Linked DNA regions of Lytechinus pictus. The protein of the gene in region 1 purifies or fractionates together with the protein of each later gene. This does not show direct contact. Links are inferred from orthologs where the notes say so. Each region holds a gene or a part of one and is shown in the gene's direction. Other genes may lie near its edges. The genes, in order: integrin-linked protein kinase-like, multifunctional protein CAD-like, T-complex protein 1 subunit beta-like and leupaxin-like.

Region 1 (7,500 bases):
CGGTGGAAAGAAATATTCTAAGAGAATACCAGGAACACATTCTCAAGAATCAATCAATGATATAGCTGACTATTCAAAGGAAGTATAATGTTTTATTAACAGTGGACTCAATGTAAGCAGTGCATAATGAATGTTCCTGATTTATTACAAGTATATGGACAATCAGAAAATCAAGGAAAGAAAACAACTACAAGGTCTACAATGCAGATATACCTCTGATGCAAAATAAACTTCTTCCTCTTTAAAGGGAACCATGTCTCATTCATCAAATGTAAATTAGGTGACTATAAAGAATAGGAAGTACACTACTACAATCATTCTAAATTTTCACAATAAGATGGTCATTTCCTGAAAAAAAAAAGGTTTTGTCGCTATACACCTTTAGAATATGAGTCTTTGGTCTTACTTTTGATTCTTGTTGACAGCTGCTACATGCAAAGCTGTCCATCCAAGTTGATGCCTCTCATTCACATTGAACCCAGACCTTAGTAATCTACATGTATTTGTGAAAGAGAGTTGTTGGAAGGGAGTGAAAGGGAGGTAGTATAGGAAAAGAGGGGATAGATAGACAGAGGAGAGACAAACATGAGTGAGAATAAGCAATTTTTATAAGTAATCCATGGTGAAAAAAAGGGAACAAGGTCACTAAAATGTTGTTGGCTTTGATTCAATAAAACAATGCAATCCATATTGTCTAATATTTACAAAAACTTTATTCAGGCTTCAAATGTCATCGTTTTGACAAGATCTTCTTCCTAAAACAATTGATGACTTAAACATATCTATGTTTTATTGGTTTTAAATTATGTCATTGTCATAACAACATATTATTTTTTTTCTTTGACTCAAAGTAAATCAAATGAGCTTACCTCAATATTTCATCTACATCATCCTTTCTTGATGCATAGAACCATCTTGCTTTCACTGTAATAAAGAAGAAATTACCATTGTGATGTCACATTCAAGTAGATCCATAATGTGCCATGCAATGTAAATTGAATAAATTGTAATTTTTTCAGAATTATACATTGTCACAGGGTAGATTTGGGCCTACCTTGTGGCTGGGATCTTTTGACTGCAGTGTATGTTCCACGTACCGACATACTTTTGAAAACTTGTTAACAGAATACCAATCACAAAAATAATTAGGTTTTAGAAAACCTTTATTATAGTAAACTATTCTAACAAAGATTACAGGTTATAAACTAAGTATATAGATATTAACAGCTTTATACAATTCAATGATTAATGATGTTGCTTAGTTATTTCTTCTTCATCGCTGATTCTTGGTTTCTTTACTTGAGCGTCCTGACGATGACAATCTGTCTGATGTCAGCTCCTGTCTCTGGACAGACTTAGACCAATGATTCAGTTACAGATCATAAATCCTAAACACCAACTTCTCGTTAGTGTTTACTGATTTATAACGATTCCAAGTTTGTCAATGTGGAATCCCAAGATCCGGACTATCAGATTGTCCTAACAACACCTTGTAAGTTGTTGTATTCACCGAGGGCTGAATACAGTATTCAGATGAAAACTTGTTAATACTTTTGTGCAGTATCTCTAACCAGTAGTATCTCTGTTGAACAATCAGCAGCTTCTGATTTAGACTCACATTCTAGCTTTATTTATAATAATTTTATGCCAATTGTGGAACTCTAATATTCTTAGAAAGTATTATGAAGTATATGGCCCTCTAAATATCATTGGCCATTAAATACCTAGTCACTCACTTTGTCCCTTGAATTTGATTGGTTAAGATATTTTACTACCACTTCCACCGGAAGGAGTGGGAAACAAGACTCTGGGAAATGTCTGACGTCTTGGCTGGGTCAAAGTTTACAATTCTAGCCCATTCATCCTGGTTCTTCTCCTTTTATTGGCATAAGGCTTTTCTTTCAGGGATATTCCCAAGAAATCTAACTGACCGGTAGTACATATGTATGATGTTTGACCATCGTCATAATTACTTGGAAAACTTTCACCGGAAGTTCTCTTCTTCCTTCTTATGAATTTCATTCATACCTAGGAATGTTTTATTTCTACATTATATTGTATAGAACTTACATTGATGATACATATCGGATAGATTGCTCAAAAACGTGATTCTATGTACAGAGTCAATGCAAATAGTGTTACCCAATCTGCATTGACTTTGTACACGGAGTCACGTTTTCGGGCAATTTTGGGTCTGACATGCACTTACAAAATGTTGTGTTACATGTATTTTGGAACCACGTACCTGGGCATCACAAATTTGGTCTCAGAAGATGTGCAAGGCTTGAAAGTAAAAAGTCACTGAGTGACGAGGTAAAAAATTTCTTGCAGTTGCGAAGTGACAAATTCGTCAAAAGGGGGTCAACTTGACCCCCTCCAAATTAAGTAAGGATTAAATTTTAGGGCAAAGACAGCATTTTTACATCTTTTTATTGTTAAAAATGAATTCCTTGTCCAAAATAACAAAGAAATTGACACAAAAAAAGCCAAGATATACAATTTTGACGAAAATGGGTTGGGGGTCAACAATCTTTTTGCCCCAAATCGTTTTTTGGGCGGCACGCCAGCACCCCCTCAAGGTTTGATTGATTTTTTCGAAAAATAATGAGAAAGTTATGAGCATTTGAATATTGCAATCACTAATGCTATGGAGATCCTCATATTGGCAATGCGACAAAGATTTGTGATGTCACTTGTGAACTACTCTCCCCATTAGGCATTACTTTAGTATATATTTCAGTTAAACTGCCTCTTTTTTCACATCTATCAGTAGAGCATATATTCTTTCTATATGAGGGCATGTAATACAGACTTTTAAAGAATACATAATGGATAAAGAGTTTGTATCACCATAAGAAAAAGCAAAAAGATAAATTTTAGGGGTATTTTATAGTCCATCAAAGGGAAAGTTATGTGACATCACACTTGCTTGTTGCATTGCCAATAGGAGGATCTCAATAGCAATTAGCATTAGTGATTGCAATATTCAAATGCTCATAACTTTCTCATTATTTGTCAGATTTTTCTCAAACTTTCTTTGTTCTTATTCTTTGATTTTTCTGTTTCCACACAAGCCTATTTATTACAAAGGTTTCATTCCCCTTCAATTAAAAAAAATTGTATTCATCATTGACAAATATGGGGAATCTAATTGCACACGATATCACAAATTGAAAAAAAAAGAACAATTAATAACTCTTCTAAGTTCTTCATCTGTTCGTTATTTACTAATTCTTTTCATTGTTGATGGATTTTCATCAAACTTTCCCCAAAAAAGGATTGTTTCTGATTTTCTGTCTTAAATTTAAATATTAAATTAATTAAAACCCATTCAGATTTCAGGCCTCAGGCTCAGGGCGACATAGACAGCTGGCAGCCGTCTGTTTCGAGGAGTTTTTAAACATTTGTTTATTTTTTAAATTTCTCCTCATACACAGACGGCTCGCTATCGTGCAGCCACCATTAGGGGACTTACAATGCAAAATCCCCCCGTCGGGGCTCTTCAATTTTTGTCTTTAAAGTTTAAATATGAATCAAACTTTTGAAAATTAATGCGACCAAAATGCAAATTAATATTCCCTCTTGGCATTAATTGCCAAAAAACGGGGAAAATCAAGTTAAAAGGAACAAAAACAGTAACTTACCTCGGCTGTCGCGCAACTTCACTGCCCTGTTTTATCCGAACTTAATACACATAAACATATGGCCATTGAGTCCCCTGTACAGATCGCGCTAGAACTTCGGTCTCTGTATTTGGTGAGTGAAGACAACAGAGTTTAGCTGAACAACCAACATAACAGAGACCGAAGCTTTTGGTCTAACTAAGGGCGACAGAGCCAGAGAGTCATGAAGCCTATGAAGATGAACCTCTTTTGAAACTCCTGATCCCCAGGCCTGGCCCGGTTTTGTTTGGGAGAGATGGGATGGGCACATGGCCTGGCGCTGGCGGGGCCGCAGAACAACCTTCATTTAACTCACCCGTTTCGGCGGACTCAGCACACGCCGCTACTGCCCCGAGGGCAATCGCAGCAGTGGCCCCTACTCCCGCAGTCCGGACACGCCAAGTGGAAATTAAACGATAAATCTGCCTGTTTCCATAGAAGTTCCTTACGTTAAGACAACATCTAAGTGTGGGAGTTCTTCTCGAAATAATGAACTGTGAAATTTCATTCTTTTCGATACTTATTTGCCGTAAACTAAAAAGAAATAGACGTAATTTCATCACATTCGTGGAAACGATGGAGGCTGCCATCTTGAAATGTTGAGTTTGTAAAGCACTGATTAGTTCTTAGAAAATATTGTTGTAGAACTATAATATTGTTAATAAGATTTTTAAAATATGAAAAATTATTAAAAATTTTAATTTAAAATCAACAAAAAGTAATTTTTATTAATAACGGCATAAAAAATGAAGAAAAATATCAATCTTTCTGTATGTAAACATTCCGCAACCTAATTAGGAATGCAAGGAATCTTGACCCCGTGGGCGTGAGGTCATCCATTATCGGAGTCTCTTCAGAAATGAGTGGAGGAGTGGCCCGTGAATGTCGCTCCGAGCTCCGATGCAATATAGCCGACTGACTGCACCAAAGACGTTTTTACCTCGAGTGCGTGACCTTTCTGCTACTTGATGTGTCAAATTTGGCGGGGGTCTCTACAGCAGTTTGTGTGATTTGATGAGAGGATCAACATTGCATTATTTTTGGATGACACTGACTTAGTCAGACTCACTTCAACACAGAAACTTAATAATAATTGTCATTCCTTGATTGAAATCACATTTAACTTTTCGGACTGGATTTTCAAATTTGTGGACCAAACGCAATTGAAACTGAATCTAAAGTAATTGTCACTGGATTTTCATCCATCATCACTTGAGTTGATACTGATAGTCAGTGAACTTTTCATTTGCAGGGTATGATCATCATCATATCTCATGTTATGAGGATTGTCAACATGACTTTGTGGAGAAAATAATACGTTCTTCACTTCTTTCTTTTCAAATTATCTGCTTCTCATCGATAATCTGCACTCTGCAAAGCAGTGAAGCATATCAATAGGAATGGATTATGATTCACTTGAATTAATAAATACATTGATATTCAAGTGACTAATTGTACAGGAATTTCAAACTTTGTTTGAACAGTCGATGGACTTGCTTCGACATCAAGAGGACTCTCACAGGAACTTTTATTAGAGCTGATACAGCAATGGATGATATTTTTTCACAAATCCGTGATGGGAATGCAGTGCACATCAGAGTTTGGTTGGACAAGGTTGAAAATGATCCAAACCAAGGGTAAGAACAATTAGTGTAGAAAAGTTAACCAGAAAAATTGAACTGCTATTTTGTTAAATTGTTAAATTAATTCAGGTCAGCGTTAAAATCAGGGTCAATGTCATGAATCAACATCTTTCATCATCAATGGCATCATTGTCCCCATTATCGATCCAACATCAGCTATCTACCAAGTACCATCATCAACAATATCCCATTGTCTTGTCATTTGTTAACATATTGTAATCATCAATTCTGAATACCATCAGCACAATTGTTATCTTGATGATCATCTTAAAGTTTTGTTTATTTTTACTGTTTTCTTGTTATTTCTATCTCAAATCTGTTCAAGTTTTCAATATTGCATTTATAATCTTTACAGATGCCAAATGCTAATGTTTTATTTTTCTTTGTCTATATTATTGCCTGTAAATTTTTTATGTCACTGATTTACATTGATTCTTGTCAACCAAACTTCATAAAAATTGTCTGGATCACAATTACAAAGTTATACAAGTTCTGGCACTATCAACAAATTTTGCTCTTGACCTACATACCGGTACATTAATAATGGATCAATGCAATATTTTTCTAAATTTTTTTGTGTCTCATCTTCTAGATGTGAACATAATAACTTTGTAAATGGAATTTCATTGATGATTTTCCTTTGTTCAGGGCTTACTTTTTTTTCAGAAAGAAAAGGTTTGTGTATTTAAACCCAAGACTGTATTTTAAGAAATAGAGGGCCTTTATTTTTTATAAGTAAGTGTGCCATAGTAAAAAAAGGGGGAAATTCTTTTCAATCTTTATATTAAAGACATGATCATAAAAAAACGATTGGGCTAAATTGGTTTTATTTTATCAGAGACTTATTTTTTAATCTAAGATATCTACATGTAGTTAGGGCAGATCTAGAGAGTGTTTCACTTGTTTGCATAAAAAATATGAAGAATGCTACATGATGGTATCTTGATATAGTGAAGGAATGTCTTCCATTTTAGTGTAATAAAAGTTTAAATTTTACAAAGATTGCAACAAGTGGTAACATCCTCTGACTGGACCCCATGTACATGTACATGTACATACCATGAAAATATACGTACATGTACACTTCAGAGACTCTGACTTTGTCTGAGATTTTTGTAGTACCTACTCTTTGTCCTGCTCCGTGTTCTTGAAAATTCTTAGTACTGTACATGTATGTACTGTATGATAAATTTGTCATCCATACATCTAGGAAAAGGGCTCAACAGCCAATGATAAACATGGAGCTGTTAATAGCTCTATGGTCTAAGGATTCTATTAAAATTACCATTAGATACCATGATACATTCTAACGTAACAGGCATGGTTAAGTTCATTTTGTTTGAGAGAGCTTTATACCTAGGCTAGTGTAACATGATCAACATGAATGTTTGAAAGCAAACAAGACGTTGTATTGCCAGGTCAATTAAACATTTTACAAGAAGAAAAATATTGAGTAGATTTGTAACTTATCCTTGCAAAGTACATTTTCTCTTGGGCACTGTTGCGAGTAAACTGTACCCTCTTCATGACTGGATGCCAGATATACTTACTTGGATGTAATGTAGCTTATTTGCCCCTCATTAAGTTGGATAGTCTATGATAATGGTAGGGTAAAAATTCTAGTGGATGATTTTTCCAGTGCCTCTCAATAGCTGATTTGAGCATATTCATATTACAATAGAATATAGATGCATGATTGCAATCATTTTGGAAAGGCATTATTGCTTCTGTGCTTTTTTTTTTAATTTCATGCTACATGTATGACCTCTGTGTCTACCATGAAAATCAATCTCAAAGAATTTGTTTAAAGACTGTCAAGTTGATCAAGTCCTCTTCAAATGCTGCATTGTAGCACATTACATGTTCACTTCTAAAATACCAGAACATTTGGTACTCTACATGTACAATGTATGGCCCAAATTCACAAAAGTGGTTTTTGCAAAAACCATGGTTTCTAAAACCCACGGTTTCTAAAACCATGGTTTTAAATGAAACCACCTTTGTAAATTCAGGCCTATGTGTTTTAAAAATGGGGACATTGCTCGACAGTTTTTCCACATTAAATAAGCATGGAGAAAACACATGTTCTGTCATAAAGAAGTTTGCCATCTTGGATATTTGTTTTAAAGGGGAAGTCCACCCTGACAAAAAGTTTATTGTAAAAATAGCAGAAAAAATGATTAAAAATATTGCCG
Region 2 (7,976 bases), on another chromosome or scaffold:
CCTGTGTGGATGAAAGAGAAAGGAAAAACAAGGGTGATGGCAGATGAAAGGGAAGGACAAAGAGAAAGGAAGAGAGAGAGAAAGAGAGAGGTTGGGTCCTGAGCGCTCAATTTGGGCTTACTCTATAAGATGCGAGAATGTGCTTTTTTAGCTTGATTTTAAAGCAGTTGAGACTAACGGAGTTAATGATGTCGTGACTGAGTGTATTCCAGTATTTAGGACCGTAAAAGGAAATTGTTTTTTGTGCAAGTAGAGTGCGGGTACGGAGAAGGTGAAAACGGAGGGATTGTCTTGTTGGGTAATTGTGAATGGCGATATTTTTTGTAAACATGTTAATTAATATGTTTGGCAGTTCGTTTAAATTCAATTTGTACATGAATTGCCCTGTTTAAAAAAGAAATAGATCTGGAAGTTTTAAAACATTCGACTTGTAAAATAAATTGTTAGTATGAGAACGAGGAGGAGCATTATGTATAATTCTTATAATGTTCTTTTAGATGAAAATTTTGTCTGTAAGATATTTGTTGGCTTTACCCCATGTCATTATTCCATAATTCAGATACGGAAGTATTAAGGAGGAATATAATGTAAAAAGGGTTGATTTTGGAAAAAAAGTGTCTTAGTTTATTCATTACACCAATATTCCTGAATATAGTTTTGGATATATTTTGAATATGAATGTTCCATTTCAATTCATCGTCAATCATGAGACCTAAGAATTTGGTTGAAGAGACCCTATTTAGAGGAGTGTCGTCCAAAAGGATGTCTCCACGTAGATTTTGCAAAGTATTACTAAATAACATAAAGTTTGTCTTTAGGATTTAAGGGATTGTTAGCTTTAACCTATTCAACTATACGTGTCTCAGTTCAAGATTTATAGTAAATAGTGTATTTTGGTTCGCATGAGAATAAAATAAAACGTATTAACCTTACCCATGCATTTCAGGTCGAAATATGAAATAAAATTTCAGCTCGCGCTTTGCGCTCGCTATATTATAATTGTTCATTTAATTGTTTATTTACTTACAATCATAACTATGATTACCAAAAGTAAATAGGATGTTGTGTTTTAAGGTCTTATTTTTTTTTTTTGAATTTGTGAAAAGGTGCTTATGGTCCTTCTTCGGATCAGTATAGGACTATCAGATATTTCATCTTGCACTTTGCGCTCGTATAGTTACACAGATTGTTCTTAATTCAAAAACGTGTTCAGATTAGCATACAAATTATTCAGGAAGATACAAATTTTAGTCTGCTGTGCAAACCCTTCACTTGAGTTTTGAGTTAAGGGTCTGAATGTGTATCCTACTCATGCCTTGTGTACTGAAGGAAACGGCAAGTTTTGTATGTATATAGTCTTTGCGTGGAGACACGTACACTTGTTGATCAAAGCTTTCAGGGTATGCGCCTGCACCTATCATTTTCAAGATTACAAAAAGTATTTAGAATGTTCCGTTTTTAGGTCTTGGAAAAAAAATCAACTCGCGCTTCGCTATGATTGTATAATATATTACCAAAAGCGATATAAGAATGTCTTGTTTCAAGGTCTAAATCACCAAATAAAAGCTTAGCTTGCTACGTACGCGCTTGTTTTCAGGTCAGTATCTATCTATCTATCTCTATATATCTATCTATCTATATACATAATCATTGGCGGCGGAAGTAAACAAAATAAGGGGGGATCACCAAAAATTTTGACAAGCAAAAAAGGTCATCAACGAAAATTTTAGGGGGAGGCCGACAAAAAAATATGACAAGTAAAAAAAAAAAAAAAAAGGTCATCAACGAAAATTTTTTGGGGGGTCGTCCCGCCACCTCAAATTTAGAGGGGGACACGTCCCCCGTCCCCCCCCCCCCCGCTTCCGCCGCCTATGTACATAAATATATACACACACACACACGCGTGCGCTCGCATCATTAATTTTAGGCCTTATCAGACATCTAATCTTGTTTGCAAGAAAAAAACAAACTAAGATGTACTTACAATTTCGGACTTTAGTGGGAACTACCCCCAACGGACGTACCATTAGATACCCTGGGGGGGGGGGGGGTTAGTAGAAGTTTGGGTTGATGCGATTTTTCCCCCTTTCTTCTTTGAGCAAAGTTATTTTTTTCCTTACTCTATTGAGGCATTTTTTGGAGGGCACCTTTCAGATGTTTGGCAGTGGACCAAGTTGTTTTTACTCTGATCAGATGGTGAGTCAAGTTTTTTTTTTTGAAAAACTTCCATCGCCCCCCTGGATATCTAATGGTGCGTCCCTAAACAAAAATTAAAAAGAAGAAAAAAAAAATCAGCTTTCAATCACTGGCGAATGGGAAAAATGTGAGTGAAAATGTGTTTCCACCCCCCCCCCCCTTAATTGCTTCCGCCGCCAATGGTATAGGGGCCCGTAAAAATTAAACTATTGAGGAATCTTTTCTCGTGAAAATGATTTCCGCATGATTTCGCATAGGGCCTACTGACATTATGTCATTTTTTTGGCAAATTGAATATGATAAACTTTAAAATGGGGGACTTTGAATTATTCAAAATTTATGGGGGCAACTAAGAAAGGGCTTTCAATTGATAAATTAAATGGATCGAAGAAGAAGAATTAAAGTTAGTCGACCATGGAGGTGATGTGTACATTTTCCCCGTCATTCAATAGGGCCTACATGATATATGTGTTGATCTCGCGCAGTGTTTCCACAGATCCAAAACAAATTTCCCGAAATCTCATATTTCCTGAAAAAAGTAGACATTTCCTGGAATTTTAAAATTCTATCTTTTTTAAGGAAAAGGGACAATAACAAAGCGTGTCTAAACTTGGTCCAAGTGACCAAAATCAAGGAATTTAAACTTTTTTGTTGAATGCACTTTTTCAAATAACAAAATTACAAAATGCGAGCGCAGAGCGCTAGCGGGGCGCAGAGCGCGAGCAGAATTTTTTAAAGGAAATATCCTTCAAACCCGGGGGGCCACTTACATTGACGAGTGGATACCATGCGCGACCAAAAAAACACGTAAAAAGGATGTCTTTTTCAAGATAGGGCACGTTACGTACGTAACGTGATAAGGGTGTCAAAAACACAAAAATATTGAAAAAAGGGTATCTATTTAGCCCGAAAAAATATACGTGTTTAGGGTCAAATGTGCGGGGATGATAAAACAAAATCAAAATGTTTTATAAAGGATGTCCTTTTTGCCCCAACACTACGTGTTTATATAGAGTCCGATTTGCGCGAGGTGTGGAAGATGGGGCCGTACTTAACCAAAATAATGGTGTCTAAAGGTAAAACCGACGACCGACGGACGCGTGACATAAAAATAAAATATATCTGTACTTGTTTAGGCTGGGTTCACATAGAAGTATACTATTCTGGTATACGGTGCACGTTTTCGAGGGCACGCGAATAGCTTGAATCGAACAATAGGATTTCCTAATACCGCGGGGTCACATGAGAGGGCACTATACGAAAATGCCGTATAGTTGCGTATAGTATAGTATAGTGGGAATCGTACTTGTTCGATTTTCGTGCAGCGTATACAGACGTGGCAGGTGGTGTTCTGAATTTCCCTATAATATTTCTGTGTGCGTTGGTTAAATGAGGAAAGTTCAAATGAAATGATTTCTTGGTACTCTTTTTATTGGAATTTCTTAGCACATGCCGTCATATTTAAGTTACCCAGCACTTCAGAGTTTATCTCATGCACATGCTGTATTATTTATGTGGGCTCTGCATTTTTCGTTCTGTCTTTTTTGACATTGAAATGACTGAAGATACAAGGTCAAAAAGGTCCGCAGCGAAGGCTACTTGACCTATGTTGCTGTGTATCGCTGAGTCATGTTTAATTAATTACTTAATTATTCTTATAATAAGTCGATAATAATGTGGAAATATATTTAATTCAAGAAAATATTGTTTATAAAATGATTTATTTATTATTTCACTTTTGCTATGATTTCACAAAGCTGGAATGGGGGAGTAGAATCAAGCCCCCCCCCCTAAAAATGACGTCATCAAAGCAAAAATAGGAATGATTGATATAATCAATTAGGCTGATACAGGTTTGAAATCTTAAAATATAAATTTGGAAACATAGCTACAGTATTTCCAATAACATTCCTCAACCCCCCCCCCCCCCTCCCCCAAAATAAAATTTTAGTTTTTAGTGTGTAAAATCATATGGCTCAAATAAACCCATCTCGACGGACTGGCTGAACTAACCCCATTAAAAAAAAATCATTAAAAGTTGTATTAAATAGAAGTTTAATAATTTGCAGAGGTGACAAAAGTCTGCTTGAAGTTAGTCCAAAACAAGCTTATTTTCGAATCTTAGTAAGTTATATGTAGAAAAAATATGATTTCTTTCCTTTTTTTTAGAAATTAATTTCATATGTACCTCCTCAGGCTCGGCCAGTAGGTAAAGAGCCAAATCTTCTTCGTCTGAAGTATTCATTTTGAATATTAAAGTAGGACACGCGTGCTACCTTTATGTGACCCGCCATGCCCGTATAGCGAATAGCGAATAGAGAATACCGTATACCGTATACTTCTATGTGAACCCAGCCCTAGGGGTTCATTTCAGGGAATACTTGCTAAGAGTATCGTTTTGTTTCCAATACTTGTTAAGGGGTGCATTTTCAGAATATGGAAAATACATCGCTGTACTTGTTTAGGGGCTCAGTTCTGGGAATACTTGCCAATAGTATTTGTTTCCAATACTTGTTAAGGGTAGGCATTCACACGCCAATTATACTTGTTAAGGGGTGCATTTTCAGAATATGGAAAATACGTGTTTAGGGTGCTTCTCAAGACCCCGTGGTCGCGCATGGTATCCACTCGTCAATGGAAGTGCCCCCCCCCCCCCCGGGCCTTCAAACTGGAAAGTGGAAACACTGAGCTCGCCGCGTGCATGCAGTACACATCAGGCGAGCTAACCGCCGCGCGCCCCGTACGCTCGCGCGCGCTGCTTGAAAATCATAATGGCAGCTCGTCAACTGCTGCCGTCTCATTCTTTGACGAACATCCCGCTTATTCCGGAATCTTTTCATTTTTCGACATTGTTTGATACGTTGATGTACTGAAATTCACCGCCTTGGAAGTAACTCAATCGGTACTCCATCCATGGTATGAATGTCTTGTAGCGTTTGGTCATCCTAAGGGAAATAATTCACATTGATTCAGAATTGAAACTCGTCGCCGAACTGTGTCTGTGACTGAGGAGCCCACGTGTTGTGTGAAGACGAACTTGTCATCCGGAAGGAAGCGCGCCCGCGGGAAAGTTTGAATAGGTGCATTGAGCGTGCATGATCATCATAGACCGATTGCAACGTACCGGTAATCAGCTGTCCGCTAGCCGAAACTCTCCCGTCAGTCAAAGCCGACTTTGGTGAAGTTGTCATTACGTGCAATTCAGGATGTCAGCCACCCTTTGCTTAGCAGATGGCACCCAGTATTCGGGGAAGTTATTTGGAGCTAACTGCAGTGTTTCTGGAGAAGTTGGTAAGAAACTAGAAGAAAGTATTTATTTTAACATTTATTATTTTCATTTTCAATGAGTGTCAATTATAACAATTAACAACTCTAACTTAATTAATCTGATTCTGACTCAGCTCAGCTAGCATTAACTTTAAATTAGAGTAAATAACAAACAGTGAGTTTCAGTTACACCTAGCCAGGCGGCTTCTACTAGAGAGTAAAAATCATTTACTAACGTAAGGTTACTCTCATACGAAGCCAGGCATTCCCCCCCATTCATCTGCGTGTACATAACTACATGTACCGCAAAAAACCCTGAAACTTTCGCCCCCGAGATTTCTACTTTCCTTCTAAAAGATCTAGCTCTAAATCATGTAAATGGGATAAAACTTCATTTCTGACATTTCTACGCTCTCGTTGTTATTTGTAAAACAAGAATTCATCAAAAAAATGAAAAAATATTGTGAAAAGACGGAAGAGATTTGCCCGATGTTTACGCCGCCATCTTATTTCTTATTGTACGTTACGCGACGCTCGCGTCCGTAACGTTGGGGAAAAACGAAAAGTTCTCTCCTTCTACCCCCGTTTCGATCGGCCATTTTTGTTAAAAATCGTAACAAAATGGCCGATCAAGACTGGGGTAGAGGAGAGAACTTTTCGTTTTTTTGAGGTTCCAGTCTGTGCCCAGATGTCAGGAAACTGCCACTCGTTAGACCTTCATCCATATAATCGTGGTAATTGTATACTTTCTGTTTTCACAATTCATTTGGAGAAATATTTAGACCATAAATCACCCTAGTCCGGTGACTATGGTCAAATACACGGTAAGCTCCTGGGCTCCCTGGGTTAGAGTTTCATATGCACCCCCACTAAAATTGAAATTAAGACATGGAGAAGGATCAGAATAATATATCTAGCCCTAATATAGAACATATATGATGGGGGAGTGGAAATACATACCAAAATGTGGCTTTATTCTGTCAAATTTCGAGCAGGATCTTGTGCGTGTAATTGTCCATAGAGTAGACATCGCTTTATTTAGTCAGTAAATTAAGGGTCTGTGAGTCTAGACTAGTCGAACTATCGGCTGATAATCGTTAAAATACCCCTTCCGGTAGTGAGAAGAGGTCTTGACTGCAGATACATGTAAAATGTGGTGAGTTTGAGTCCCAACTTGTCTTAGGTAAGCAACAGTAAAAAATGATAGAAAAATCAGAAGTGAACGAACCGGAAGTCTCGACAATCTTGTTATTTTTGGTGGGGGTGCATATGGAACTCTTTCCCACAGATCATGTGACATGTCTTGACTCTTGCCCCAGCTTGCATTGGCAATCCCATTGCCCAGTTTGTTTTGACTTTTGAATTTGAGTGAGTGACTCGCCATGACGTCTTGGGCCGTCCTACTTCGCAGGGATGATACTTTTCATATTAAACTTAAGTTAAAGTCTGAATTCGATCAGCATGATTATTAGACTCTTTCCACATGTTTTTGGTCATGAAATACATGTAGATCATCTAGACTAAAAGGGTCATCATATTTTACTATTTCTAGATGATTTTCAGACTTTTTTTTATTAATCAGGCCTGAGGCCTGACTGGCGTCGATGGCCTTTTTTTTTAGTTAATCAGACCTGAGGCCTGAATGGCATCAATGGCCTTTTTTTTAGTCAATTAGACCTGAGGCCTGAATGGCATCAATGGCCCGGCCCAGCTGGGGCTGGGAACAATTTTGTTAAGCAAAAAATAAAAAATAAAGGTCATATTTGGTTACATTTCTGCTATTTATCATGCCTACCAGATTTCCAGGGGGTGCTGCCTACTGTATGGTGAATAACACGCAGCACCACAGGTTCGGGGGGGGGGGGGTTGGAGGAGCTAGGGTGTGGAGAAACTTCTGAAGATACTCATTAAGCAAGGGAGCAAAGGTAGTAACTTGGTCATGGGGCGCCTTTGCATTTGGTTAAGTGTAATGAAAGGATTTTGTGCACACATTTGATGAATTTTGTGACAAAAAATTATGTAAAAATAACAAGTTGGGCGTATTCCAAAGTTCTGAGGGGCAACCACACCCTTCTCCCTCCACTGTGTTCAGCCATGACAATCAAACAGAGTAAGCAATACCGGTAACTGTATATTGTTAACAAGTCTGGCAAACTATTTCCCACTGGATGGTGAACCTAGATCTTTTTTAAAATGTGATAATATTCATTCCTCATGTTCTAGTAATCTTCAACAACCGACTCATTTTTGTGAAATTCTAGACCACAAGTTAGTTTTGGAAATACAAGAAAGATTTGTACATGTATATGTTTATGCTGCGCTGCTGCCAGTACCATCTTTGTCATGGTGTTTCTGCTCTTTTTCTTTTTTTCAGTTTTCCAGACTGGTATGGTTGGCTACCCAGAATCCTTGACAGATCCTTCCTACAAGTACCAGATCCTGATCCTGACCTACCCTCTCATCGGAAACTATGGCATCCCGGCCAACGACAAGGATGAGTTTGGACTCCCACT
Region 3 (7,007 bases), on another chromosome or scaffold:
GTTTTCGGATTAACGAACATCGAGGTATAGGCAATTTACGTGTTTCGGAATTACGAACCTTCAGAATTACGAAGTGTAACCGATAAAATTCGCAGCGTTATGTTTGTTTGATTTTTCTCTATCGATTCAAATCAACAGTTTTCTAGGGTGGACTTGACCTTTAAATACGTGTGTGGGTAAAAAACACTTATCTATTTCACACCCTATTTTTACTTTTTTGGCTGAAATTTGTATTTTTTCCTCTAAAAAAGTAACTTTTGTTTCAAAGTTGAAAACAATGTGGTGGGGTTAGGGGTAATGCAATGGGTCATCAATACATGACACCACCATAATGTACTCATTCATTATTGGCCTGCATGGGGCTGGTGGCTCAACTTGCCCCTATGCTCAACTTACCCCGCCTTCCCCTATAGTTTACTTAGCGCATTGTAATGGATATCATCGAATGGGCAGTGTGAGGTCTTTTCTCCCTCTCCATTTTTTTTTGGCCGAGACTAATGGGGGGGGGGGGCTATTCGCAGCCCTCATGGATCTGCCGGGATCCGCCTATACAACCCAGAAGGAAAAACCAGTAAGACCAGTAAATTTTTTTTTACTGGTTTCCAGTATATTTTTACTGGGCCAGTTGATTTTTAACTGGACCAGTAAAAATCAACTGGAGACCAGTTCCAACAATTGCATTCCAGTTAAAACAAAGTAGTAATACCAGTTAAATTGTTTTTCATCAAACTGGTGTTACTGGTCCAATAAAATGGTTTCCAGTAGATTTTTACTGGTTTCCAGTATATATGTTTACTGGACCAGTTGATTTTTAATTGGACCAGTAAAAATCAACTGGAGACCAGTTCAAACAATTGCATTCCAGTTGAAGCAAAGTAGTAATACCAGTTATATTGTTTTTCATCAAACTGGTGTTACTGGTCCAATAAATAATGACTTTATTTCAAATCAGATCATTTGACGAATTATGGAAAATGAATCTTGCAATTCAGAAAAAGTTTTTTTCGTTATCATTTATCATTGTTATCATCATTCTTCTCATAATGGTTAATTTCGGTCATGTTCGCTCATTTGGTTTACGTAGCAGACGATGCTAGCCTGCTCGTATATAGTATACTTACGCAGACCCTTTTGCAAATCAAAATCAATTCTGGACTCGATATTTGCTCCTCAAACTGTAGCTATATTATAAATATAAGTAGGCATAGCTTTATAATACAAGAACATTGATACTTTCAACATTAAATGCGTAAATTAAGTTTGTTTGGACTGTATTAATTATTGTTTCAAATGAAAAGGATCTAGGAACGGAAACTATCATACGTTAGTCACGTGACGTTGTACACAGAAATATGCCATGTTCTGCCTGCTTGATCTCAAAGTTTGGGGAAAAAATGAGATGTAACCATTATTTCAGTCATAAAGTATTAGACATCAAACTGTAGGTAATCTATTTAGCATTGAGATGACAATCAATCTCGACCTTTCTGACCCTCAAGGATATATATCAGGTGTCCCACAGGGATCTATACTGGGTCCATTGATATTTTGTATTTTTATTAATGACATGTGTAATTTGAAATTGCATGTACATTCTAAAATGTCTCTTTATGCTGATGATACCGCCATTTTTAATCACGGTGAATCAATTAAGGAGGTACAAAAGTATTTGCAAGATGATTTTGATTCAATAAGTAAATGGCTAGACTTAAATAATATGCATTTACACCCGCAAAAAACAAAAGCCATGGTATTTGGTCAAAAGAAAAAGTTGAGGGGTGCTCATTTGTCAGTGAAATTCAGGAACATACAATTAGAAAATGTAAAAAAGATTAAATACTTAGGTGTCATGCTCGATCCGGGCTTGACTTGGTGCGAACATATTACTAATATCGTTTGTAAAATATCTCGGGCAATAGGTTGTGTAAGGCGGATTAAGCACTTACTGTCCTTTGATATTATGAAGAAGCTGTACTTTTCTATGGTTTTACCTTACATTGATTACTGTATTACATCTTGGGGAAGCAGTGCAAAAATACATTTAGATAAGATACAAAAACTTCAAAATAAATATGCCAGAATGCTTTTGAAAAAAGATTATAATACATCACAAATTTCTTTGTTGCAGTCACTGAAGTGGCAATCAGTAGATCAGCGTATAAAATATCAGTATTGTGTTCTTGTATATAAAATAATGAATAATTTAGTTCCAAATTATTTAAAACCTTTAGTATGTAAACGGCCCGTGAAATACAGGACACGGTATTCTTTACGATGCCCCCTTCAGCTTCCCAAAGCTAGAATTGAACATAAAAGAAAATCTTTCGCATATGTCGGACCCAAATTATTTAATGCACTTCCTTCAAATTTACAAGTTTGTACCTCCTTGTTAGTTTTTAAAAAATTATGCAAAGCCTTTCATACGAATTGATAAAGGGCGAAATGATATTTCTTTGATTTACAATGCTATGTATGTTTAAATTGTCACTTCCCACTCTATATTTTGGTGTTAATTGTTTCTGATGTTAGATATTTTGTATTTTTGTATTTTTGATGTTGTTTGTTGTTGTTCATAGTTATCTTGACATTTATTTTAAACTGCAGGGCGCCTTTGTAAAGCAGTTTTAAGAACTGAACAGGCCTACCCTGCAGTATAAAATAAATAAAACAAAATAAATAAATAAATAAATAAATAAATAAATTCCAGGGGGAAAACAAAGGTGCCAGCGTCTCGAAAATATGGATGGTTTTAAACCGTTTGCCATAACAAAAGTTGTGAACATGGACACTTTCAAATGAACAGCGAGACGTTAATAGTGTATTAATTGTAATAATATTTACATCGAATTAATGGAATTGGATACAATTTTCACACTATTATCAATCTGGTGTGAGATTATTAATAGTTATAAAGATATACCCGGATTTCTGCAATATTACGTTTATGAAAACCACTGTTCCCTGTGTTGAAGCTGTGTGTGGGGACTTTCGGACACTCAAATGCACGCGACTAACCATTATGTATAATTATCATTATCATTATTATTATTATGATTATTATGATCATTGTTGTTATCATTCTTATTACTGTTATCATTGTATTATTAATATTATCATAATTATCAAGTATTAACATTATCATTAAAATAATTATGATCAAGATCAAAGCAAGATATATTCCTCTGATATATAGTCAACTGGTCTAAAGTAATTCATTGTTTGAAATTGAACTGGTCAAGACCAGCAATACCAGTAATTCTGATGAAACTGATCACGTGGATTACCTCATTTGCATATTTCCTATTTTTTAAAGAAAAATCAGGATTTAGAATAAAATATCCTTGCATGCAATGGCACTCATTATTGTTTAAAAACTTTCTAAATAAGTGTGTGAACTAATTCACAATGAAAATGTGTAATTTCATATATCACATTTAAAATAACAGCAGAAATATTAATTTACTAACCATCTTTTCCATCACATTTCACTGACCATGGTATATAACAAACCAAATGCATGTAATAAATTGAACCAGTAAGACCAGTACGAGGACCAGTACGACCAGTTCGAGGACCAGTCACACCAGTAGAAAATACCAGTAAAGACCAGCTTGAATTGGATACCAGTATGAAGACCAGTGAGACCAGTAACAAGACCAGTATACTGGACCAGTTAGACCAGAAAATCGATGTTCCAATTTCCAGAGTTATCAGTTAAAATTCTACTGGTCTAACTGGTCCAGTGGAACTGGTTTTTCCTTCTGGGAAGCGTCGCGTATATCAATTGTATTTTTTTGTATATTAGTTTAGTTAGTTTAGTTTATGTTTTAAACTCACATTGATCCATCCAGCGTCGGATCTAGTTTGGTTTGATTATTGATTAAGGCATAGGCCTATGTGGGAATCAATTTTGTTTTTATATTACCGGTAACTATATATTATGTAGGGCCTTTTACAAAATGTTCGAGACGGTTCTACCGAGCCTAAATTTCAACGCACGTCGCCCTCTGGTGTTGAAAATTTTACAGTTCCTCGTGCTAAAAAAGAGATCGAAAATTCACTCGAAACACACCCTAATTCTTCAAAATGGTATGCATATTCACTGTTTATATATCATTATCGTTAAATATGAATTTAGTGCTTATCCATTAGATGGATTTTATTTTATGCATGATTGTCATACAATGTTTTTAATTACATGAAGTGTCCGCCGGTTATAATTGCTTGGCAACCGCAAATTACCCTGATCCCGCCTATTGATTTTTGTGTATTTTCCCCAAAATGATGATTTCGTTATGGATGAGGCTGAGCCTGAGCGCTCCCAATCTTAACTTTTCTAATTATACTTTGATAGTAAATAAGGATAACTATTAGATCTATCTCAATTACGAAAATTAAGTGGTGAATTCAGTATTTTTTGTTGTCCTAAAATCTTTTGGCAATCCCGGATTCCCGGTGCTGCTTTCTTCATTCTTGATTTGGTCAGAGACAGAGAATGAAAATGATGCAGATTTAGAGAAACGCCTGGAGGCTGGACAGTCCAGTGAACACAAAGAAAGTGTCATGAGTGTGTGTGCTGTTGTTGTTTCAACTGCAAGGCAAGCAATCATGCATGTACTATGTAAAGGGAGGGGAGAGCGCTGAAAAGGGGGAAGGAAAGAGAGGACAAGAAAAGGGAGAGAAAAATAGTAAAAAGACATGAAGAGTAAGAGACAAAAGGGGGAAAAAAGAGAGGGTAGAGGAAAAAGAGGGAAGGGGAGAAAGGAGAAAAAAGGGGAGAGAGGAAAAAAAGTAATTAAAAAGCCGGGAAGTGGGGGGGGGGGGCAAATTCATGTTTGAGTTCGACCTTTGGGGTGCCAAATTGACCTGAAATGAAGCGGCATCAAATTTACCTTAAACTCGGGGGGGGGGGGGCAGGATACCAAATTGATGTTTGACCTTCAGATGTAACATGGAATAATAAAGATAAAATGGAATAATTTGTGCGAGGTTAGTATTAGTATACTATTGCTAACCTCGCACCATGAACCGCGTTTGGCAGTGGATTTCTTACTAGTGGGTCACGCATGCTGCGACCCCACTTCTAGCGTCCACAACACGTGACTTCTATGGCTTGATTTTTTTGTGCGTGGCGATTAGCCTAAATAATCCAGGCGGGGGTCAAAGGGTCCGCCCCCAGCTCCCCACTGTATTGGCAGCGCAAAAAAGAGAAAAAAGACGAAAATAGGGAGGGAGGAGGGAAAAAAGAGAAAAAAGGAGGGATATTGATAAAAGTGAATGAAATAAGGGGAGGGGGAAATTGAAAAATGGAAAAACTGCTGTATTCACTCATTCCATTAATATAACTATGCATCTGGTGTTCTTCAAAATAAATGGTTTATTGCCAAGCCAGGCTTTGTAGTGATACTTTTTCTTTTTTCCCCTGCTAAACCAGCTTAATATCAGCATCAATTTTCTTTTACATGTAAACCTTGCTTTAGGTTCTTTCATAAATTCAAGTTAAATGGCATTAATAATATATATATATATATATATATATATATATATATTTTTTTTTTTTTTTTTTATTAATGTATTTTCGTACCCAATGTATTTACATTGAGCATTGTCAACATGGAAATTTTTTTTATCAGTAGAGAGACAACATGATTTAAGAAATTTTTGCATGTTTAATTTCCACTTCTTATTGTTTGTCATAGGTATCCCTTCAACCTGTTCAGATTCTAAAGCATAATGCGGAGGAGGAGAAAGCAGAGCTTGCTCGTATGTCATCTTTCATTGGCGCCATCGCCATTGGAGACTTGATCAAGAGCACACTAGGTCCCAAAGGAATGGTAAGCCTGCGCGCGACACTGGCACTGGTCCGACGGTCCCAGACCAGTAAAAATTGCTGTCGGGCCAGTAACTTTTCAGAATTACCCAGATTTACTGGTCTGACGTGACCAGTAAAAAATATTTCAAGCTTATACAAATTATATTTTCTCCTCTTGTAAATTATAAAAATGGCTCTCATGAATTGTGCTGTGTGTACTGTTTGTTTGTATTTTTTTTTTGGGGGGGGGGGCAATAAAAGCAATAAATGACAGCAAAATAAACTTATTCTTGTTTATGGTGTTCTTTAGTTTGGGGGACCAGTATATTTAGGTTCGGACCAGTAAAATAAGGAGAAATTGGGTATCTACTGGTCCGACATGAACAGGTTGGACCAGTAGAAAAAAAGGGTTAGTGTGGAGCCCTGGCCGTAAGCTGTTCTGCTTGGAAAAAGGAATTTCTTTCTAAAGATGATCACCTTGTATTCTTAAAATTTAAAATGATCTAACAGATGGATTATTGGGGGGAAAAAATCAGGACAATGATGAAAAACAACTATGCCGATCATGTTTTATCTTTTCGTACATAAATATTCTTCGACTTTTATAGAAGCACAGAACGTTAGATTTGGTCTTCTAAACCTATTGCTTTTTGCTCTCAGGATAGTGAAATAAATGTGGTCTTTTACTCTCTATAACATTTGATTTTGTGAAAGGGATGAACTTTTATTGCATCATTAGTATAGATATTGTCAATGGTTTGCTTCCTCGAGATGCACCAAACTAATTTGACGATTGTACTTTTTATCCCCAGGACAAGATCTTACAGAGTAACAGCCCAACAGCACCACTCACTGTCACGAATGATGGTGCCACCATTCTGAAATCCATCGGAGTGGATAATCCAGCTGCTAAGATCCTTGTTGGTAAGTTGGATTGATGTTATTTGATGTTTATTGTTTTGTTTAGTTTTTCCTTAGGCTGTTACATCAGTGTACTTAGTGTAATTATCATTATTTATTGTATATTTTCAGTGTACATTTCAACTTGGTGGCCCCTTTTTATAAGCTCTGCTTTCTTTGGGGTTACCAAACCATCATTCTATTGTTATATTTAGTATTTGAATAATTATTTATATTGGTATCTATTTATGTAATTGTTTGTACCTGATGATGGTTAAATGAATAAATTTAATTG
Region 4 (7,726 bases), on another chromosome or scaffold:
CATGAGAAAGTCTGTAAAACCAGGCTTAATTGTCAGTATATCATCGAGGATCTAGATCTGGTACAGTTACATAAACTGAATGTTGTGAAATCTTGAAATCTACGCTGAAAAATGTTCAGACTGAACTTCCCCAACACAGATAAGCGCACGTGGGACAGTGTATAATTATTGCTTTGAGCGTCGGGCCCGACGCTCTACCCGAATCCTGTGCTTATTTGCTGATTTCTCAGCAATTACACAATTTCTTCCAGAATCCTTTGGCACATGCGTTTTATTTATACAAACAGACACTTTGGTGGTCATTTCATTGGATTCTGTACGAACTCATTTTGATATCGTTACCAAAACTAGCATTTACCTTTAACAAGTATTGGAAACAAAATGATACCCTTGAAAAGAACCCTGAATTGAGCCCCTTAACAAGTACAACAATGTCTGTAATAACTGTTTGTCACGGACATGATCATGGACGTCTGCTTATACCTTTTACTTTCATTGGGCGGGGGAGTACTACCCCACACACCTCGCTCGATTTGGACCCTAAGCACGTAGTGTTGGGGCAAAAAGTACATCTACAGGTTGTAGGCCTATAGTCTTTTTATACCCTCGCAAATTGGACCGTAAACACAAAGTTTTCCTAGCAAAATATATACCCTTTTTTCATTATTTTATTGTTTTTGACACGTTACGTACGTAATAAGCCCTATCTTGAAAAAGAGATCCTTTTTACGTGTATTTTTGGTCATGCATGGTATCCATTTGTCAATGGAAGTACCCCCCCCCCCGGTACTCCAGTCAGCTTTTTAGGCCTACATGTAAGTCCTGCATCCCATTGTAGGAAGAGTAAAAAAAATCAAGTCCAAGTCCTTAACCAGTGTCTATGAATCTAACATTACAGTTGTTTTGTTTTTTTTGTTTAAATAAAAGTCTTCTTTGAATTTAAATAGGCTGTTTTTAGGCCTACATGTACATGTACATGTATGCCTTAAAATACATATATGTTTTCAACCTTTTCATGTTTGTCTTGCCTGCATACATTGGCAGAAGTGAGACATACATGTACATGTAGGCGCCGCTTTTCTGAGGTTGGTGGTGTAGTCAACATCTATAGAACTAAGCATAAGTTTTTGAAATATCACCAGAATGTTGTTCAAGTATAAAGACCCGTTTTATGATCTGCTAGACTAGGCATTCCACTTGTTCTTGAGATTTCTCAATTTTTCTTTGTCAGTCTCAGAAATTTGTATTTTGAACTGTATGTCCCTACATAATATCAGGTATTATCGACAATGAGAGAAAAGTTATCGATATCGCTATTTGCTAAGTGGCAAAAAACATGCGTTTATCAACAAGACTAGCGATAAAGAGGTTATTGATAACAGCACTACTTTCAAAGGTATATACATGTTGGTCTTGATAGTATGCCTACATGTACTCCTTGTGGTATCGTGAACTATAATAATGTCTGAATAAGCAGACTAAATGAAGGATGGACTTGTGGTATCATTAGCATATCATGTTTATTTAGAGAGTGGAATGCCAAACAGCTTGGTGTTTGACCTTAGATGACACCAAGGACCTCTGTATGAATGAGGTCAAGATCTAAAGAATGAAGAAGTTGTGACTGATCCCCATCTGGGCATCCCTCTCTCTGAATATTAGTCTACACCAAAAGCAAATCAGACCCATTTGTTATTTTGTCTTTATTTTTTGTACTTTGATTTTACTTGTTAATAATTGTGTGCTAGGTAATATAATTGGTTTTATGTAAAATGTGGCTGATTGGTGCAGATGACACTCTTAAAAGCAAAATAAACTATCAATCAATCAATGTAGGTCCCATGTAAGGGGAATTAGGTCGAGGCTACAGATACTTTGTATTTCTGTATTTTTAGGGCAAGGGCACATTTTATATTAACAACGCAAATGGGGAAATGAAAAAGGCAAAAAAATACATGTACATGTATAGGCCTATTTAGGGCCAAAGAGAGGGACATTGCAAGGCTACCGGTAATCAATTTTTTTTCCGGGGGGGTGGCAAAGCTCTTCAAATGTTACAAATTTATTAATTTCACATGCGAAGAATGATAATGTCCATTTTGAAAGACTATTTCTGTCTGTCTGGTCTTATGGTTAATCTGGATGCTCCAGGAAATGTGGCATTCTTGGCATTGTTGACATTGACTGCAAATTATTTATTGCCTATCCAGAGCAGTGAATGATAGCTTATTTGAGTGGAAGAAATAGCAGGATCCTCATGAGTATCAACCTCACTAGGCGGACATGAAAATAAATCTACATGTAAGCTAAATGATACAGATAGTATAAAAAATAATGATTAATAATTCAATATTAAGATTTAGGCCTATGTACTGTACATGTGGTGAACTTTCCATCTTTATTTATGCTAAAGGTGCTTCAGGACTTCAGAGCGAATGAACGACACCAATTAATAAATTGAGGTCTATCAAAAACATTCTTATACAGTGGATCCTATTTCTTCAGTGTGCAAGTAATCTATTACTCCTTTCAGACTGGTCTCTTCATTTTTCCCCGGCGAACTTCTCTGGCATGCATTCCTCACTTCCCCGGCGAAGAAAAAATATGTACCCTTTTGCACTTCCCCGGCGAAAGGCGATTGGTAATTTGCTCGGGCGGAAGTAAGTGCAGACCCGGTGTCAATGAAAGCGTGCGCTTTTTTTAATTTGAATTTTTATTTTACTCTTTTCTTATTAATTGCAGACACCTGATTAATTCTTACAGTGAAGTTTTGGAGATGACGGCAGGTAAACACTTCTCAGCTGCTCCTGCTGATCAGCTCACTCAGCAGGTGCATGCAGAATTAGAACGAACAAAAATAAAATGAATTGTAAACATTGCTTCTTACCGATTACAAAAAGGTGTTAAAATATAAATTACAACCAATTCTAGAAATATTAGAAGCAAAACCAAAAAAAAATCAAAGTATTTTGATATTTTAAGCGCATTTCCAGCATGTAAAATAATGCTTTTATAATGAATATCGTTAGTGAAAAAACAAACTGTATGTTCGAGGGTATTTAACTCTATGGAATTATTGAATCGCTCATAAAGCTTGGCCTTCTACATTTATCCACGGAAATAATAGCTACATGTAGCTAGCGCGCGGAATCTCAGTTCAGGGGATTTCGGGGAGAAAAAAATGACCTCTGACGTCATCAAAGAGGAGAAGTTCTCCGGTTACCTTTCATACTGGCTGTTTCACTGGCGAACTTCGCCGGGAAACAGTTTCCCCAGGTCTACACTCTCATGCACATCCTTTTTTTAGAAGATAAAAAGTTTGCTTTGGGGTGGGGCAGATGGGAGCGGTCAGGAGGGTCCATGTACATATGTATTTGTATGTAGGCCTGAAAAGCCCTGGGGTGGTATTCTGAGATCCATTTTATCTCAGTTAAAATAAAATATTTTACCTCCGTTAAAATCAGTGAGATAAAATACCCTTAAAATCTCTCCGAATTGGTATTCTGAGAACAATTTTATCTTCATTTTATCTCTGTAAGACACACCTATTTTTTAATCAATATCCAATTAGAAACGCGCTTTTATAGCTCTCTCATATCACTCAACCAATGGAAATCCATTCCGCTAGGAGGTGTGGCAAAGGAGTGAGATTGCGTCAATTTATTGACTTCAATACGCTTGCACTATACGCTTGCGCGTCTTTACAGAGATTTCTTTTTAACTAAAATTGCATTACTCTCATCTCTTTATCGATGTCTATATCGCATCTTTTCAAGCATCATTTCAAAGACAATATTAGTCAAGAAAAGAAATGCTTCCTGATTGTACAGGAATAACTTTAAGGTGTTGTTCTCAATGAATCTATAATTTCTCTTAAATTTCATGCCAACAGTTGGAGTTAATTCACCTAGAAATATTGACGAAATCAACGTCGCGGAGATAAAATAGCCCCTACCCTCTTTTAAGGTTATTTTATTTTTTCTTCAAAGTAACTTGGGCGCAAGCACATTACCCGCTTTGCAATGGCCAGATACGCGATGGGTATGTCTACGCAGCCACTGCTCTGTTGCGTATCATCATAGATACGCAAGATAAAATTTATAAGCATGATAAAATGTTAAATTTTATCTGAGAGATAAAATGTCATCTCAGAATACCAATTTCATTTTAAGAGATAAAATAAAATATTTTAAAGATAAAACGACCTCAGAATACCGCCCCTGATATTCAGTGGTGTGTGTGATGACTCACATACATGTACATGTAGGCTATGTCATGTTCATTTATGTTTTTATCTCCATGAAATGTCACCTACAGTAGCAGGCAATATACTTGTAACTGGTGCATTAATGAGCAGTCATGCAGAAAAGTCATGTATTGGAAGAGATTCACATATTGGCCACATTTATTTGAGTAGACTATGACTGCAAATTTGTAATGCATGTTCAGGCTCCTCATTATCATCTTTTGATAGTACCGGCTTCAAATCCCATGAGTGTTATTTGGAATATCAATCAGTGCATCAAATTCATACTGGATGGTGATTATAAAGAAAAAGAAATGGAAATTTTGCTCTTTAGAGATACCATGTACCGGTATGCACTAATAGATAGCGCAAAATGTATAGGCCTATACCTTCATTAGCCTATAGAAGAAGGTAAAATTTTGATGAGCAAATTGTTTATCCTTTTGTTCCAGTGTTCTTCTCCACTATACATCTAGGCCTACATATGTACTTGGTAGTGATGATTGATTTCTTTTGAACATAATTTTACTGGGTATTCTATTATCCAAGGGGGTTTTACAAACATGTAGCGCATTGATTTGGTTTGTTGGTTTCAAACCCAGGTTGTTGGATTACAAGAAACACTGTATTGCACAGTGCTGTGAATATACATTTGGGATATCAAAAAGTAATATTACATGTTCATGTATGTACCTCCATACTCTGCACTAGCCTGCATGGAAAGAAGTGTCATCGGAGGTGAAATGGTGCCATTATTTACAGTATGTCAGTGATTGATGGGGGCCAATGAGTGAAAAAGATTAAAAAGGATTTCACATCCCTTTCTGCACTTTCAAATATCAGGTGATATACATGAAGGAATGTTGCTGATATTTTGGGAGAGGTTGATGGCAGGACAAGGGGTTTTGCCCCCGCTCCTGTTGCCTCCAAATGGTTCTAAATTCTACTATCTATCTTATAAAGTAAAAAAAAAAGGTCTGGGCCCTTTCTATCAAAGAGTTGCGATCGAATTTATCAAACTCAAGTATTGAAAGCCAGTGAGTTTTCTTAGTTCTAAGAGTAAGATGTAACGAGCGATTGCGATTGAGTGATTGTTTGACCAACTTGCAAGTTAGTGTTGAATTGTGGCACTGCCGAATTGGCTTTAACATACAGTATATTGCTTGTGAGTTGTATTATAAACTCAAATTAACATTCTTTATGTCAACATGATTCGGTTAAAAATGATATGAAAAAAAGAATTATGTTTTTTGCCCTGTTGCAGTTAATATTCAAGTTACACATAACTTTATAAAGAAAAGGTTCTTATCCCTAGGATACTTTCATGTTTATAGCCAAACTAGGCCTTTAATAGCTTACATGTAATTTGTCGTGGGGCTGACTTCTATGATTGATTGCATTTATTAGTATTATTGATAAAAGTGTAAAAACCAGCCCATAGGGGCCCTGATTCTACCATAGAGAGAGCAAACAGAGGTTCTATCATTGATGGAGTTCATCCCTGTTTTAATGAGATGACATTCTGGAAACAATATATTCAGCTCAGATGGAGATGATGCATGGCACAGTTTGTAGTGATCATGACAGTGAGTGTGTGGGAGTATCATTTGTGTTGTCAGAAAATGTGACTGTCAGTATGTGAGGAGGGCCTGTAGACAGAATGGTATGTTCAGTTTTGATCTCCATCAGCCCCGATATCATCCCGCTATTTCTAGCAATATAAATCTATTTATTTCAATTTTGTGAACGTACTTTGCAGTGTTATCAAGATGTGATGTACATTGTAGAATGCTAAGAACTTCTCTGATTGCCGCTCCTCAATCATTACATTATTAATTCTTTCCTCCCTCTTCTGCATTCCGTCATCTCAATTGGTTTTGAGGGTATAAGGTTTAGTGTTGTACTTTTAATACTTGGCAGTGCTTTGTACCGACACACATTTCATCCAGTATAACTACATGTACATGTAGCTAGACAGGTACGGTGGCAGTTGCTACACTCTAAATATTTCAGAGGGCATGGGATTAGAGTTAAGATTGTAAATGTTATAGAGTTTTTGGTTAAAAGTAATGTTAAGAAAAGGATTGGAATTTATATAGTTTCGGAGGCTACATGTAGGTTTTATGTTTGGCTAAACGTGCAGATTTTCCATCAAAACAATTGTCGTCGGAGCAAATGTCATGGAACCATAACATACACAAGATCAGATTTTTATTCCAGTGTCTAGACCTACATGTACCTGCGATAGACACCAACAGTTTTGGATAGTAGATGAATTGCATGGTGGAAAATGAAAATATATAGCCCTAACCATGTGAATGTGATATTTTTTGTAGTCCGTCTTCAAAATCTTATTGAATCTGTGTTCACTTTAACAAGTATTGCTCCTTCACTTTCCTGCAACGAAAATGATGACTTCCTTTTGTTGAAATATTGTTTGATTTTAGATATTGTAATGTATCCTGGTCTACCATTTCCTCTCGACTAAGGATGCCACCATGAATTTATGGTATAGGTCCTTCACCTTTACTCATGTTTGGACAGTATGTGTTTCCTCTTGATGCTGATGAATATTCCACGGCACATTTCTCTCGTCAATGACATCTCCATTGCCCCATCCTTCTCCTCTTCTCTCGTTGCACCTCCTTTCTGCATTCTCTATTGATAAAAAATCCATCTTCTCCCCTTTCTCATTTTCACCCATCTCCTCTGTCTGTTTGTGTCACTCACCACTGCTCTCTCTTCCATTCTCTCTCTCTCTTCCTTCCTGTCATTTATCTTCCCTTCTAATAATATTGACATTCTGCCATTCTCATCTGTTCCCCCTTATTGCATCCTCCTTTCTTCCATTGTTTCTCTCCTCTTCCCTTCTTTTTGATTGGTTCCCTGCCTTCCACCCCTCTCTTTCTAAAAATCCACACCCTGCCCTTCCCACCTGCCCCACCCCTTCTTCCCAACACTCTTCTGGGAAACCTTAGTTTTACCCTCACACCTACATGTATGACACATATACTGTAGACATGAACAGGAGAGCAGATGTGTTGCTTTTACACACGAGGGACCATTGGATGCAGCCAAGTGATGCTGACAAGGATGCTCGTTGCCGTGATGGTGAGAGGCAGTCAGCGGGGCAGGGAGCATGCTCATATATGGGCAAAGGCCTTATCACATGTGAGACCCCACACTTGCTCCACTCCACTCCCCTCTGCACTGAGCTTTCTCTGTGTTATGACTAATACTCCGGTCTGAGGTCACCACCAGATGCTGCGTGTGCGTGCGGTAACCAAGTCATCTCGGTACATTTCTTTCAAATCCATCTCATTGCGTTTCACAGCCACCAAACATTGCTCACACTGTATGTAGGCTTATGTATTTCTTGTCTTCATAATATGTAGCAGGGATTATCCATCTCTCATTTGGAATATAATATTTTGCTGTAAATGTTGGGATATCTCCTAGAGGGTAAGGATCATGTGTGGT

The links.
Region 2: the proteins of integrin-linked protein kinase-like (region 1) and multifunctional protein CAD-like purify together in Homo sapiens (affinity purification with mass spectrometry; 4 studies listed by BioGRID and IntAct, with this or other methods). This does not show direct contact. The link is inferred for Lytechinus pictus from reciprocal best matches to the Homo sapiens genes ILK and CAD.
Region 3: the proteins of integrin-linked protein kinase-like (region 1) and T-complex protein 1 subunit beta-like purify together in Homo sapiens (affinity purification with mass spectrometry; 3 studies listed by BioGRID and IntAct, with this or other methods). This does not show direct contact. The link is inferred for Lytechinus pictus from reciprocal best matches to the Homo sapiens genes ILK and CCT2.
Region 4: the proteins of integrin-linked protein kinase-like (region 1) and leupaxin-like purify together in Homo sapiens (affinity purification with mass spectrometry; 4 studies listed by BioGRID and IntAct, with this or other methods). This does not show direct contact. The link is inferred for Lytechinus pictus from reciprocal best matches to the Homo sapiens genes ILK and PXN.

Annotation. Positions count from the first base shown.
Region 1 is NW_026974140.1:15,264,814-15,272,313, reverse strand, and holds the start of integrin-linked protein kinase-like, read left to right. Parts: upstream 1-4,482; 5' UTR 4,483-5,210; coding exon 5,211-5,299; intron 5,300-7,500. Other genes in the region: mitochondrial disaggregase-like, read right to left, coding at 407-493, 870-924, 3,979-4,252. UniProt on the Homo sapiens protein: Scaffold protein which mediates protein-protein interactions during a range of cellular events including focal adhesion assembly, cell adhesion and cell migration.
Region 2 is NC_087261.1:11,653,388-11,661,363, reverse strand, and holds the start of multifunctional protein CAD-like, read left to right. Parts: upstream 1-4,964; 5' UTR 4,965-5,402; coding exon 5,403-5,487; intron 5,488-7,837; coding exon 7,838-7,976. UniProt on the Homo sapiens protein: Multifunctional protein that encodes the first 3 enzymatic activities of the de novo pyrimidine pathway: carbamoylphosphate synthetase (CPSase; EC 6.3.5.5), aspartate transcarbamylase (ATCase; EC 2.1.3.2) and dihydroorotase (DHOase; EC 3.5.2.3).
Region 3 is NC_087263.1:2,302,681-2,309,687, forward strand, and holds the start of T-complex protein 1 subunit beta-like, read left to right. Parts: upstream 1-3,999; 5' UTR 4,000-4,086; coding exon 4,087-4,089; intron 4,090-5,699; coding exon 5,700-5,834; intron 5,835-6,624; coding exon 6,625-6,736; intron 6,737-7,007. UniProt on the Homo sapiens protein: Component of the chaperonin-containing T-complex (TRiC), a molecular chaperone complex that assists the folding of actin, tubulin and other proteins upon ATP hydrolysis.
Region 4 is NC_087246.1:21,756,152-21,763,877, reverse strand, and holds the start of leupaxin-like, read left to right. Parts: upstream 1-4,721; 5' UTR 4,722-7,686; coding exon 7,687-7,708; intron 7,709-7,726. UniProt on the Homo sapiens protein: Cytoskeletal protein involved in actin-membrane attachment at sites of cell adhesion to the extracellular matrix (focal adhesion). Recruits other proteins such as TRIM15 to focal adhesion.